2 linked regions of the Struthio camelus genome follow. The protein of the gene in region 1 interacts with the protein of each later gene in a pairwise test. Links are inferred from orthologs where the notes say so. Each region holds a gene or a part of one and is shown on either strand. Other genes may lie near its edges.

Region 1 (7,751 bases):
CATTTTTGAGTCATTCAGTAAATAGGGCTTAATCACCAAGTATATAAACTGAAAACAAGACTGAAACAGGAATGTTGCGATCCAAGCCATAACTTCAGCGCAGGGACATGGCTACGTACAAATGTCATAACAATGAGTTCATCCGATATCAGGACTCCTGAATGGCCTCAAACTAACCTCTGTATGAGTTTCCCATTCAAACTGTACAAAATGTAGTGCATTAAATTATCAGAACATCCAATTTAATACTATATGTTAAGGAAGTTTACCCTTCCCCATTTAAGAAATTATCAGAACATCCAATTTAATACTATATGTTAAGGAAGTTTACCCTTCCCCATTTAAGAACTGCAAACATGACCGCTGCAAACACGACATCACTTAAACTATGAGTCATAGAAGCATAAACTATTCGGTCAGCATCCAAATTAGACTCTGAGACTTATGAAGAGCTCTAAGTTGGACACCTTTTGTAGCTGTGGGTATTCTAAGATACATCAACTGATCTCAGTGAGAGGAAAAAAAAACTGTTAGTGATTTTTATTCCTGTTAACACTACAGAGTCAAAAGTTAAGGAAGTGTGCGCTGCTGTTGATTTTTTACCAGAGAGCAACAAGAGAATCACTTACTAATCTATAATTAGTTACACTTTGATAAATCAGCTCAAGGCAATGGAACAGTATCATTAGGTCACAATTTAGTCTCCAGGACCATTATAAATGGTGACTAGAGGAAGAGATGGGAACAGATGCAGCTTGGTTGCCTGAATAATTTCTGGAGTTCACAGCTCAAAAAAAATACAGTTTCTCACAAATCAAGCATACTACATTATCTGCAGAATGACAGAACCCCAAAATCTGTTTTACAGACTTTTTCAAGCAGAACTATACTTTTAAATACAGAGACTCACTCTTGTGTCATTTGCACTAAAATTACAGAGACATAACTACTACAGTCAATGGAATTATTCTTAATTTTCACCTATATGAAACTGAAATCAGTTCATCATATCTTTTTAATAAACCTTAAACTACAAATAACTCATTTTAACACAAATTTATAAAAAAAAATTAATGCACGCTTAATTCACTCTAGCTATATTGTTTACTTTTCCTTTTTCCTAGTCCTAAGATCAGCTTAGTATCCTTTCCGTTTCTAGCTAGTATTTAACCACTTTTGTTTCTTATACACTGTGTAACACTTCTCATGCATCATAATAGTGGTTGGTGATATGTGAAGAATTACTTAGAGCAACTTGCCAGATTTTTTTTTAACAAAATAGCAACATTCCTACATTTCTGAAAAGGCTGATTTCTTCAGCAAATCTAATTTGAGCTTAGATTTTACTTGCGTGGCTCCATCATTGTGTTACACCCTACTATGAGATAGAGTCAAAGTGAACTTCACTTTAGATTTTAAGTTGAGGCTGGTAAGGTTTGGAAAATAAAGGATTTTCATTATATGAAGTAGTGCAGAGCATACTTGTTGTTCATGCAGTTCTTTGCCAAGCAGAATTACTGTGCTTAATATCCAATAATTTCATTGCCTAAAACTGAAAAAGTACAAACATGCAACTTGGTAGACCATCTACTTTACCGGAGAATCTGATAAAAAAACCACACTGAAGGCAATCCAGGAAAAGCCAGGTACAGTAAGAAACACGTCTTAAGATCTGACTCATTCTTTGGCGCTAGCGTCTAGCTGCTGAATTCCCAAGAATTCCTCCACATTTCAGAACTGACAAAAGGAAACCGTCATCTAAGGGCATTCCCAAGAACACGCGGGATCAATTTCTTACTCAGGACTTACGCAGCTCAAATTTCCCTTAAGTCAGTGGTATTTTCCTTGGGCAAGTGCTTGCTTATCCAAAGCACTATTAATGTCAAGTTTTCAGTAATTAGATGCAATGTTTGATTTTAATAATTACAAACACACTGTATTATAAATTATTCTGTTTGATAGCTAACTAAATGCTCTGATATCTGGTCAAAGAATAGTAAGCAGGATACGGCCATCCCATCTGTAGATCCTTGGAATCTCTGAGCTTCCCAGCCATTGCTATTTGAAGCCAGATAAACTTCTCCCCAGCCAGTGCTTTATCATATATTTCTAAAAAAATTTGTTGACAGTCAGCAAAAGTGACTTTGCTGTACATTTTTCACCAAGCTCTAACTGTAGCATAACAGTACTGAAAATACTGAAAATATAAAATGAAGCCTATTTATTTTTTCACTTTTCCCACTAATGTATATGAAAACTATAAAATGCTAGTATTTTAAAGTAGGAATTATCCTTTCTTTTTTTCCTAGTAAAAATGATGCCTCAAGGTTGTAGGAACTAACTTTGTTCTACATGTAGACAGTCAAAAATTGTAATTTCCTCAACTTTTGATCATATGATTTTCCCGTGTCCTTAGTCACGGTGTATTTAGATTATTTACGAGATGAAGTAACAAACACACTGTAAACCATTATCTTGGGCAACTGTTTTATCCTTTCCTGTCACACAAGCTCTTCTACCCATAAAATTCAGCTTTGTTTTTATGAATATTTACACTAATGGAGCATTTTGAATGTATGATCTTTTGGGGAACGCCAAGACCTTTTCCAGCAGTACCGCGGTAGCAAAATGATGACTTTCTACCTTTCTGCTACTGCTGAATTCAATCACAGGACCACAGGATAATTCAAGTTGGAAGGGAATTCAGCAGGTCTCTGGTCCAAACTCATCCTCAAAGCAAGGTCAGCTATCAGATCAGGTTGCTCAGGGCTTTACACAGTTAGGACTTGAAAATCTCCAAGCATGGAGATGGCACAACCTCTGTGGGCAAGCAGTTCCAATGCTTGACTGTCCTTAATGGGGAAAGGTTTCCTTATATGCAACTGGAACCTCTTTTGTTTCACTTTGCACCTGTTATCCTTTCATGAAAGGCCAACATGTCACACCTTGCACTTTCATCTCACAATTATCACCAGGATTCTGACCCATCACTAGCAGGATTGAGCCAGTGTCATGTCTTTGCCATACAGACTCTTCTACAGTCATAACTTTTTGATTAATTTATGTTCTCAAACATTCCTCATTGTTGTGGCTTTTATTATGACAGCTGTAAGTCGTTAAGATGCTAGCACAGGGAGGCCGCTCTCTGTCATACTGATCAGAGTCTACCCTTTTTATCTCCTCTACCACTGGTAACCAACCATTTTCACTTGCTCTATAATTAGACAGGTATGCTTTTTGGTCCAGGACCTTCTTCCATGATTGTACAGAAGTCAGTACAACAAGACTGTGTTCACATGTAGAGCTCTGTGTGACTACGTCATTATAAATATTATTACAAACAATAATCAGAGCTTTATTTTCTTACCCTTTTAACCAGGGTTTTATGACTTTTTTCCTCCCTTGGTGTTCTACCAGTACATGATAATAACATGGGTACAATTAAACCAATCCAAACTACTTCATATTAGTTCAGCTTATCCCCCTGCTTGAATGAGAACTACCGTACCAAATAAGCTGAGTAACTGTATCTTTGGTTCTACTGCTATACAGCTAATAGAAAAGATATCCACCACAGGGGTGGCTAATAGGTGCTGGCTCAGTGTGAGGCAGCTAGTTTCACTTACATCAACAGCGCTCTATCTTCTTCTCATGAACACATACAACGTGTGATGAACAGGTATAGACACAAGCTGACCAAACGAATTTGTGATGACTGGAAGATGATCCACTCTCTCCAGAGTCTTTCCTCACTGGAGTGAGCTTCTCCTCAAAGGCTGCAGCACTATTTTAACACATTTTCCTCTAGATGCCTGGGTCCAAAGCTTTCCTACTGTTATTGATGCTGACCCACCAGACTTTTATCAAAGATTTCCAGACATTTCTTCACTGCTTGCACTGGCCTCAAAGCATCCTTTTGCCCCTGCCAGGCCATAGGGGAGACCCTGCTCCCATGCCTGGCTCAAGACAGACAAGCCTCGGCCACGGTTTCAACACCGAGATGCCTACACTGAAAAGCGAGTGCGCCCACATGTCCCCCCTCGCTGAGTCTCCGAGGTGGCCACTGCTCCCGAAGCCGGTTTCCAGAACTGTTAAGGGGGTAGGACCCCAAGCCCACCGCCCCCAGCTGCCGTGGCGGCCCCGCACATGGCTGCGGCTACCGGGCCGGCGGCTCCCGCCTTCCCTGCGGCCCGTACGGCAGCGGCGTCACGGCCAAGTAACGAGGAGCCCTACCGGCCGGGCGGCCCGCCGCCTCCACAGCGGGGAGGCGGGGGAGACCGTTAAACGGCCGGGAGCGGGGTGGGGTGGGGGAGGGAAGCTAACCCCCCCTTCCCACGGCGCATGCGCCTCCCTGGCCCGCCTCCGGGGCGGCTCCGCCGGGCGGAGCGGCGCCAGCCGGTGGGGGCAAGGGGTCGCGGCGGGAAGTCCCCTCCCGGCGCCAGGAAATTCCCGGAGCGGCTCCCGTTGGGACACCGCGCCGCGGGGCTTTCGCAAGGCTGGGCGAGCCCCGGCTTGGAGCCCCCTCAAAGGAGCCTCGATCGCCCCGCATCTCCTTCCGCCCCCCCCCACTCACCTCCTAACGGTCCCTCGTTCACCTCGCGCCTCCCCCCCCCCCCCCGCCCAACGGTCCCTTGTTCACTTCAGCCTTCCCTCCCCCCCCACACCCCCCGCCCAACGGCCTCCCTCGTCCACCTCCTCCCTCCGCCGTCAGCCCCCTCAGCGGTCCCCGACGGTCGCTCTCCCCCAACGGCCCCTCACTGGAGCCGGGCTCCCCGCCGCTGGCCGCCAGGTTTTAGCTGGCCGCCGCCGCGCTGCCCCTGCCCGGGGATCCCCGGCCAGCCCGCTGTCCGCGCTGGCTCCTCGCCCCGGGAAAGCTCTGCGCTGCGCTGCGGCGGGGTTCCCCCCCGTCGGCGGAGGCGGGGCTCCGCTCGGCCTGCGCGGTAGAAAAAGCGGCGGTGCTAGGGGAGCGCAGCAGGCGGGTCCTGCGAGGCCTTAAAGGAGAGCGGCCATCAGCGGCCCGGCAGGCGGAAGAGCGAAGGAACAGCGGCAGTAGCCGCGGCCCTGCCTGGCTCGTCTTTGGCTTTATATGCACCTGGCTGGATTATTGTTCGCCCCGGAGAAGAGAGAGAAGGGGCAGCAGAGTGATCGAGGCTCGCCGTCCTCGGCCATGTGCTCGGTAAGCGAGGGTAGCAGTACAGACCCCTTGGTGGCCCGGTTCAAACAGGTGGAGGAAACGCTGGAAAAGCTGCACCGGGAAAACAAGAGCCTGAAGAGTAAAGTGCCTCGGTACAACGCTCTCTGCACCCTGTACCACGAGTCGGCTCAGCAACTGAAGCACCTTCAGCTGCAGCTCGCCGTCAAGGAGGCGACGATCCGGGAGCTGAGGAGCAGCCTGGCCCGGCAGCCGCCCGCCGCGGGCGAGCCGGCCGGGGCCGGGGCCGGGGCCGGGGCCGAGCCCGCCCGCTCCCTGGTGGAAAGTCTCCTGGAGCAGCTCGGCCAGGTCAGGCAGCAGCTCAGGGACAGCGAGCAAACCTCGGCACAGAAAGTGGAGACTCTGAGCCAGGTAAACCCCACCTGCCCCCCGGAATAGCACTTGTACTTTGAGCGTCGCCTGCCTTTTCCAAAAGGTTGTGTGTACTTGCAGCAGATTGTACCTCGGGAGCTTTATTTCTGTACTTCTTCCTACAAAAATGACGAGTTTTAAGTTTAGTGTTTCCAGCACTTGTTGTCTTGAATGGAGCATCTGACTTGAAATATACTTGGTGATGACCGTGGTTATAGACATACTACATTTGAGTTTATAGAAGCACGTTTAGGTGCACAGGCACCGACACTGAAAACTTGGTTTTAAGTGACTTGCCCAAGGTGGCATAGCAAGCTGGGGGCAGAGCCTGGACAAGAAATCAAATGCTTTGAATGATCTGATGCTCCTTGATATGTTGGTGCATTTGACAGGACTTGCATTAACACTTTGTGTGCAGAGGTGGACTGTTTGCAAATCAACTCAACCCTATGTATCAAAGATTAGTTTCTACTGCATTAAGTTCAATAACATAAAAGAGCTTTTTTTTTTTTTTAAAGCAACTGTAAAATCAAAACTTAGTGTGGCATTGTAAATCATAACATAACTATTTTCCACAAGCAGAAGGAGAAAATATTCAGTAACAGCTAAATTCAGGAGTTCCATATTACCTATTTAAAAACAAAAACAAAAACCTTCCTCTTTATCAGATGTAACAGTGCTGTTCCATAAGATAAACAATTGATGCCAACACTTTTTCTATTACAGTATTTTTTTTAAAAGTTCACTTTAAAAAAAAAATGGCTTCCTTGTTTTGTCATTAAAATAGCACTGTAATGCTTGGAGAGGTAACTAGCAACTCTAGATTGTGAGGCAATAGATTGAGGGAATAGGCTATCTCTTTATGACAGAAAATAGTCTTAAAAACTGTCTCATCCCCCACAAGTACTATTTTTGGTACTATCATTAAGACTTTCCTGTGTTCAATCAGAAAGAAATGCTTTAAAATTCTTTTAAGTATTTCAATATGAAGCTGCGTAAAGGAATTTCCAAACCAAAAAGTAGTGCTTAAAATTGAAACAAGTATTTTTGTCATAAGTAAATTCTTGACCTAATGCTTATACAAAACACTTTCCACATATGACACTCACTTAAAATACATTTAAATAAGTTCAAGTTTGGAAATTTGTAATAAGTGATAATCTTACGGACACTTTGCAGACAGATAACAAACCTGTGCTAGCTAAAGACATTCTGAAAATTGACGCTGGAACTTATGTCTCTAATCTGCCCAGGAACTGTAAGCATAGCAAGGGGGAAATTTTATCATTTAGCAAGAAGTTAAAGAATTTTAACATTAGTAACAAGAGCAAGTGCTATTCCTGTAAGTTAGACTAATCATTTTATTACTTCTAGAAATGAATGTTTCATGCCAAATCAAAAAAATGAAATAACTGTCACTAAAAATAAATAAAAAAACAGTGCCAGATAATGTTCTGAAGTCAAAGGTCTGTGTGCTGGAAGAAGATTGCTTACTGTGATTTCCAGCTCCATGATCAAGGATTATGATTGCAACCCTTGAAGAACTGGAAGGGTAGGGTCAAGCTTGTATCTTGTTGTCTAGCCTGGTATCCAGGGCAACACTAATTCTAGAGGAACAGTGCTGTTACCAACTGTTACCAACTTCCTTTCTTCTTTGAGATCATGAAGGACAAGCTATTTTTGACAGACTCGGGACTGGTATACTCTAGGTGTTGCTGTGTGGCATGGTACTACAGCATGATTGTATCCTGGTTCGTAAGCAAACTTCTTCATTCTCAAAACAGCTGCAGCGACTGCAGTAAGCTATATAACTCTTTCCTAAGAGTATGTTAGACCCTCTCTTGTGTTTCGGGGACATAGTTATGGCCAGAATAGAGTTATTGCTACCACGGAGATTTCATTTTCTATTTGCTTGTCATTACCATTCATCCTTTCCTAGGCGGAAAAGTTGTTGTGTGTGCTATCTTTGGTTTGTCCTTTGCCTGGTACCATGACATGAGGAACACTTCATTGGTTTTTGATCAAATTGGAACTGAAAAGTCTTCTTTTGAGGTCTGCTATGTGGTAATTTGGAATGCAGGATCAGAAAGCATTTCTCAGCCTCTAGTCGTTTCTTTCAAACTGCTTTGTTTGCCGTAAGTTTCATCTTTAGCTTGTAGCTGCTGAATATATTTTACATAAAGTCTTC
Region 2 (6,934 bases), on another chromosome or scaffold:
GCCCCTGCATGAAAGACTTGTTGCTATTCTGTAGCTAAGCGTGTCCACTGAAGGTTAAAAGGGAAACTTAAACAGCTAGCTGACAGAAGTCCCAGTACAGGATGTGAAATATCTTGCAGCTGAGCTCGGAAACTCAAACCAAACTGAGAAACAGAAACAAGACTCTACTAGGTCAGGGCTCTACACTCAGCACACCACAGCGAAAGACGTAATACAAGAGTCTTCTAAACATCTCATAAGTTTTCCCTCCCACTATAAGATAAACTGTCACAAATAATTTGTTTTGGCTGCAGAAGGCTCCCCTTCACACCAGATAAACAACTCTATCTTGCTGGGCTGTAACAAACAGCTTGCTGTGGAAAACACAGCTGGCTGTTAGGTCCTCACATGTAGGGCACAACACCAAGAAAAGGGAAAGTTTCAGATAATAACAACTCTTACAAATGAGGCATAACACCAGGCTTCTCCCCGCAGTATATTTTAATTAGTTACTTGTGCACTGACTAATCAGTATGTAACTGGCACTTGAAATACCTTCCAAGCACAAATCTTGAGTCACTGAAAAGAAGAGCTTGACAACCCTTGTCCCCATTTTACAGCTGGAGAAATCAACTGAAAAGAGCCTTGAATTACTTCCCAAACTCATTAATTAGAAGTGAAACCAAGAATAAAACCCAAGACTTCCTATGCCCATTGGGTGCATAATACACTGGATCATGCATTCCAGGCACTTATTTCATGGGTGGTAGCAATAATTACCACCCTAAAGAGCTTAAGAACCACACACACACTTATATGGATACACAATAAGAGAGAGCAACAATACAAAGTGTATTTCTGCACTCTCAGCTATACCATCCCTCATCTTTCTTAGTTGAGTTCACTACAAACACCAGTTTTCAATGCATCTTTGACATGAAATTTTAGAAACAGAGATTCTCTCTTACTTTGTAATGAAACTAAGAAAGGGCATGTGTTATATACTCTTCTGTTCAAGGGGACAGATGCGCTTCCCATGCCCTTGAGAATAAGCTTCCTCTCACTGTTGGGCAGCATTTAGAAGCACCCTTCACCTTACAGTTGGCTGTGTTTCAACGGTAAAGAGATTCCTGAGTACATATGGTTTAGAAAGCACTTCCAGAACACAAAGCTGTCATTATTTTAAATGATAGAGAACATCAGTTGGAAAGTAACGATAAAATTTAACTCCCTGGATTCCCAGCTACTGGAAATATTTACTCACTTTTTCACATTTGCCTCCCCATTGGGAATTCTGCGTAGCTTCTTCTTCTTCAGTATTTTGACAGCTCTCCTACAGAGGGTTTCAGAGTCCAACATCTCCTTGACTTTGCCATAAGACCCTTCTCCAAGTAAGTCTCCCATTAGGTATTTGCCAATGAGCTTGGCCCTTTTCCGCCGTGGCTGGTAGATGACCTCCGTGGAGTCGATGCGATGGATAAAAGTGTCCATCCCCACAGACATCAGCTCACTCTCTGCAAACATACCCAACTGCTGTGGCTCCTGCATATCCATCCTGGATTAAGTTCCTTAACCTGTTTTCCTTAAGCGCTCAGGGTTTTAATCCTGTTTGTTAGTTTCCAACACTCCCTTTTACTCCTTCTTGAAAAAAAATATCCAGAAGATTGTACAAACATGAATAAAAAAACAAAACAAAAAATTACTATGAGCTGCTTCCAGCTCAGTTGGATGCTAAAAGATCCAGGCCTGGCTCCAGTAACACAATGTCTCTTAAAAAGAATATATCCTTGACCAGATACACTCAGTTTGGGATTTGCTTTACTTCTGACCTGGTCCCACCACTAGGGTTCCTTCAAGTCAGCTTGGCCTTTAACTTGGCCCAGTTTGATTTTTAAGTGCTAGGTCATCCTCTGGGACTTTAGGTCACCACATAAAAACAGACAACAGCCAAGTCTCTTTCATGACTTTCCATTACTAGCAGATCATAGCCACCAACTCCAAACTGTGAATCGCAGGGGAAGCGTTTCTGCCCTGCTGCCCTCACCTTCCAGGTACAAGTATAGAAGATTTTTTTTTCAGCCGTTTGGAAGCTGGAACCAAGTTTCTTTGAAGGAGTTTTCAGAATCAATTCTAATTTCTTCACTTTTCACGCCTACAAAAGTTTGAGGCCTTCGGTGCCTATCAAGATCTCCCAGGGGCATCCTTCAACCACTCGGATTCCGCCTGACACATGATGTGTCTCCACCACTGGTCCAGGTGTCAGCTGGTGTCAGACAATGCAAAACCTACTAGAGCTTTACTGACCCACCTTAAAACAGGAACAACCAGGAAGAAGTAATTCTCTCTGTCCAGTACCCAAAACACCCCATTCCCTGTCCAACAAAGGAAGGTCAATGAGGAGATGCTAACCTTGCCTGGGCTTTTCTCCCCCTCTGCAAGCCCCTTCCACAGGTGTCAGTCGGGGGGGGGGGGGGGGAAAGAGAGGAAAATGAGCAATATTGTACCCACCCCTTCAGAAAGTGGGGGAAGGGGATAAACCACTCACAGTGCAACCAAGCCACCACAGGCAGGTCGGAAGGCAGAGAGGGGACCCCGGGGGGGGGGGGGAATGACCTTTGGCTCCTGGCAGGCCGCAGCCAAGCCCCCCCCCACCACAGCAGGGCGCCTGCGGGGGGGGGCCCTCTCGGCAAGGGCCCGTCCCCTGAGGGCCGGGGGTGAGCCCCGGAGGCAGGTTCAGCTGCTCGACTGCGCGCCCCGCTGCCGCCTCTGGGGAAGGGAGGCGGGGGGGGGGGGAAGGGCTGGCGGCCGCGTCCCCCCTCCCCGCAGCCGGGCCTCGGCGGCGGCGGCGCCGCGCTCCCCCCCCCCCCCCGCGCCTCAGGGGGGCCCCGCCGGCCGCTGCCCGCTGCTCTGCCACCGCGGCCCTGCCCCGGGGCCCGCGCCCGCACTCCCGCTGCCGCCACCCCCCGTTACCACCGCCGCCGCCGCCGTAGCGCGCACGCCGCCGCCATTTTGTTTACCTCCCGCCCCCGCCCCGGCCCCGGCCCCCGGCGCGCTCCCGCCGCTGCCCTCCCCCCTCCCTCCGGGGCCTCGCGCCTCCCCGGCGAGCGACGTGCCCCCCCATTGGCCCCACCGCCGGCCCCGCCCCCCCACGCTCGCCCGCTGGTTGGCTGCGGCGGCGCCGCGGGGAGGGGGGCGGGGCCGGCCTCGCGGTTTTCGTTTCCGGTTGGCCCGTGGCGTTTCCAGCCCGCCTACCTACTCCGGCGGGTGGCGGGGCGCTGTGATAGGCCGAAGGGTCTGTCCGTCAGACGCGGGAGGGGACGGAGGGCAAAGGGCAAAGGGCGCAGGGGAAGCGGTGCCATGGCGACGGGGCGCGGGCAGCGCGGCCGGGCCCGGCGGCGCCGCGGGGCTCCCGGGCCGCCTCCGCGGAGCCTCGGGCGGCTCCTGCTGCGCTTCCCGGGCCCTCCGCCGCCTCTGCCCTGTGGTGCCAGCCCAGCCCGGGGGCTCCCCGCACCGCGCCGCCCCCGGCCCCGGCCCGGGCCTGGCTGCGAGGAGCCGGGTCGAGGGTGGAAGGGGGGAGAGCTCCTTCCCCGCGCCCCCCGGGAGCCCTTGGCGACGTGGCGCTGCCCTCTTTTAAGCGCAGCACAAACTCTCCTGCCCAGCCGCGTCTTTCCTGGGAGCCTTTTCCACCCGCTGGCCCGAACGTTTCGTGCTAAATCCGACGCGCGTTCGGCCTGTGCAGGGAATTCAGCCGCAGCAGCTCTCTGGCAGCGGGGATACCCCTTTCCCTCCTCCGGGATAACTGCTGGCCTGTCCACCGTTTCTGCCACCTCGGTCCCCTTTCTCCCTCCGTTCGTCCACACTTCACTGCCTTGTCCATCCCTCTGCTGAAGGCTCCTGACCGGACTGCTACAATCCAGAACGCTTGCGTATTTTGATTAGGATGTTTTGTCCCAACACGTGTATTTCCATGCTCCAGGATAATAACTAACGGATGGCAAATGAAATAGAACGCTGCCTTTTATCTGCGGTCCCTCAGAGGCTGCTGTGCGCAGGGGTAGCTCCAGCGGCCTCCAAGGGGAAGCCAGCTCCGGGCTGGAAGGGTTTAAATCAAGTCTGAAACAAGGTCAGCAGAGTTCACGCTCCTGCTGATCCTAAAACCTGCAGGCAATCTTTACTGCCCATCTTTACAAACACCGCAGTGTCCTTTAGCTATGTGTCCTGTTGTTTGTGCAACAGGGAGAAAGAATATCGTATTTTGAGTCCCTTGTGCTGCTTCTTAAAACACAGGTTAGCCATGGATATCTCCTGTTTTAAGAATCATCTGGCTTGACTCTTGAGGACCGGAGCAGCAAGGGATGTTCCTGCAGCAGGATCAGGTTATGGAAGATGCATTTACTGGGAAACTTACAGAAATCGTTTGTATTTTTCATGCCAGATGCTCCCTCATATACCATCCTGTCCCTTTCACCATTTTCGCACCTTAAAAATACTTATTCGCCTTACTATTTACTGTGTCTCACCAGGAGCGCCTAGAGCTCACCCCGCCGTGGGCCCCCGGGCTCTGGGAGGCGTACCGTACGCTGCGCTAGATAATCCCCAACTGACAGCTTATCTGCTAAATGGATGGGACAGACCAGCGCAGAGGCACAGACTCCTCCACTAGCACAACCAGGCGCAGAAACACGGAGCTAAAGAGTACAACTGAAGTCCTCTGAGACAGGCTCAGATGTACATCGTTTCTGGCAGATGTTTATCTAACTTTTAGAAATCTTCCCACCCTCCCCGCATATCTTACATCAGTGCTGAACCCTGTCTATCTTTAGGCTGATTTTTCCTAAGATGTAATCCAAGCCTTCTTGAGGCAATAGATTCCACAGTTCCTCTGTTTTTTTACTTTCTCTGTCATTGCTGGATGCAGTATCCCGCTCCGGCTAGTGCATTTGTACTACATGCTTTAGAAAGCTTTTTTTGACAGCTGTCCTTATTTTGTGTTTGCTGTCTGGCACTTTTTAAACAAGGTTTAGATAGCTACAGGCAGGCACACAAATTTCTCAAAATCATCCATGATCTGGATTCTCCACTAAAGTCTCCGTGTTAAATTTGTTCTTCTCTGCTCGTATTTTAGCAGGAACATCTACACCCGGGACAAGCACGGAGCCACAACCCTGCCCTCTCCTGGGCTGAGCTCACAAAACCGCCAAGCGGGTCTGTGCGGAAAGCAGCGCGGCCTGCGCTGCTCCGTGGCATCGCTGCGTTCCCGTCAGCAGAGCGGCACCCAGCAGGGACGGAGCATCTTCGGGGTCGGTTTTCAAAGGCTGCTATTTGTCTGACCTTCCTTCCAGCTGCTGCTGTTTGCTTTTGGTCAGCAGGTTACCGAAGGAGGAAGAAACTGGAGAGAATTCCCTTCTTTGACAAGCAAAATAGTTTCATTTGAATAAATTGTGATTTTCCTTATTTTATTATACATTTTGCATTAACTGATATTTTACACCCTTGCTCTGAAAGTGATTTGATTACATGGGAATCTACTTCTATTAAAAAGTGAAAATAGACTGCTAGCCCTTGTGGTCATGCACTAGAGCTTGAAAAAGCTAGAAAAATAGGAGGGCAATTACAGGAATCCCTGCTGTAGTAGTTCTGGAAAGAGTTGGACTTTCTTTAAGGCCATCTGAGGATTTGGGCACCGGCAGCATTTCCTCCTCACCCTGAGCGAGACGACCCTGGCACGGGCAGGGGCAGGATGGGGCGATGCCCTGGGCACTGCAACGCGCTAGAAGCCAGGATGGGGCCGGATGAGACCGAGCAGCTGCCAGAGCGTCCTCCAAAGGAGCGCCGCGGCTCCCCGGCAGCTCCGGGCGGGAGCTGGCACGGCAGGGAGAGGCCCTGGGAACACTGCGACTTCCCTGGTGGGGGATTCTCTAGTGTCTGATAAGGGTTGAACCTACCCTGCTGCTTTCCCCCGCCGAGGGGCGCTAGGAGAACCCCCTCCGTGGGCTCCTCCAGCCACACTGCTCGCCCGTGGCAGGGTCCCCGCGGCCGGCCTGTCCGCCCCGGCAGCCCCGTGCGTCCGCCCTGGCACGGGCCTCGTTCCAGCAGGCGGCAGTGCGAGCGTGTGGACGGAGGGATGCACGGACGGACACGGACGCTAGTCCTGGGGGGGTGTCACAGGCGAGCTCCCGGCTGGACACGGTGGTGTTTCCTAGTGGCTGGGGAGAGGGGAGACAAAAACAGTATGCCAACAGGTAAAAAGCTGCTGCAAGAGGAGAAAAACTGTTTTCCACATGCAACGCAGGGCGAGGGGTCCCGGGCTCGGGCTGCCACGAGGGAGAGGGAGGCACCGGTGGCAGCGGGGAGGCAGCCTGGAGGGGCACCGCCGGGAAACGAGGGGCGGCTGAGCTCCCCGCACAGCTCGGCCCCGGGGCAGGCAAACTCCTCCCGGGGAACGGCACGAGCAGGGGGGAGGCAGCGCCCGGCCAGGATGCCGCTGCCACCGCCTCCCCTCAGCCCAGGCTGCGCCAGGGTTTGCTCCGCGCCTGCGGCAGCCCCTCGCCACGCCGGGTCCTGCGGGAAGACGTTAGCGAGGGAACAGCCGATCGCTCGCATTGATCAGCGGTAGGTTGGCACAGTGGGAAACTGCACAGCCCGTTTCAAATGCACGCAGAGGAACCAAGATGTTTGCAGCTGCAGCTTCCTCCCAGGCCTTGCTGCACACTCATATTAGAGATTAAAAAAAGCCCTTTAGCGACACGATGGACCCAGGCTCAGCTGGGATCACGCGCTCAGGGTAGTACCTCCAGTTCAGCAGTTACTCCAAGGAGGGACCAGACAAATCCCTGAGTGCTGCCTTTTTGCAAGAGCTATTGGCACCACATGGGGCGAGGAGCGCAAGCCAGAGAGCCCCGAGCCCCCCCTCGGGGCCCGAGCGGTGCCGCAGCACGTCCTCCCAGCTAAGGGC

The links.
Region 2: the proteins of TNIP2 (region 1) and STK11 interact in binary tests that used the Homo sapiens proteins (3 or more experiments, as listed by UniProt). The link is inferred for Struthio camelus from reciprocal best matches to the Homo sapiens genes TNIP2 and STK11.

Annotation. Positions count from the first base shown.
Region 1 is NC_090945.1:77,064,602-77,072,352, forward strand, and holds the start of TNIP2 (TNFAIP3-interacting protein 2), read left to right. Parts: upstream 1-4,733; 5' UTR 4,734-5,086; coding exon 5,087-5,563; intron 5,564-7,751. UniProt on the Homo sapiens protein: Inhibits NF-kappa-B activation by blocking the interaction of RIPK1 with its downstream effector NEMO/IKBKG.
Region 2 is NC_090967.1:7,175,393-7,182,326, forward strand, and holds the start of STK11 (serine/threonine-protein kinase STK11), read right to left. Parts: upstream 3,008-6,934; 5' UTR 2,950-3,007; intron 2,288-2,949; exon of another isoform or gene 2,243-2,287; 5' UTR 1,534-2,242; coding exon 1,244-1,533; intron 1-1,243. UniProt on the Homo sapiens protein: Tumor suppressor serine/threonine-protein kinase that controls the activity of AMP-activated protein kinase (AMPK) family members, thereby playing a role in various processes such as cell metabolism, cell polarity, apoptosis and DNA damage response.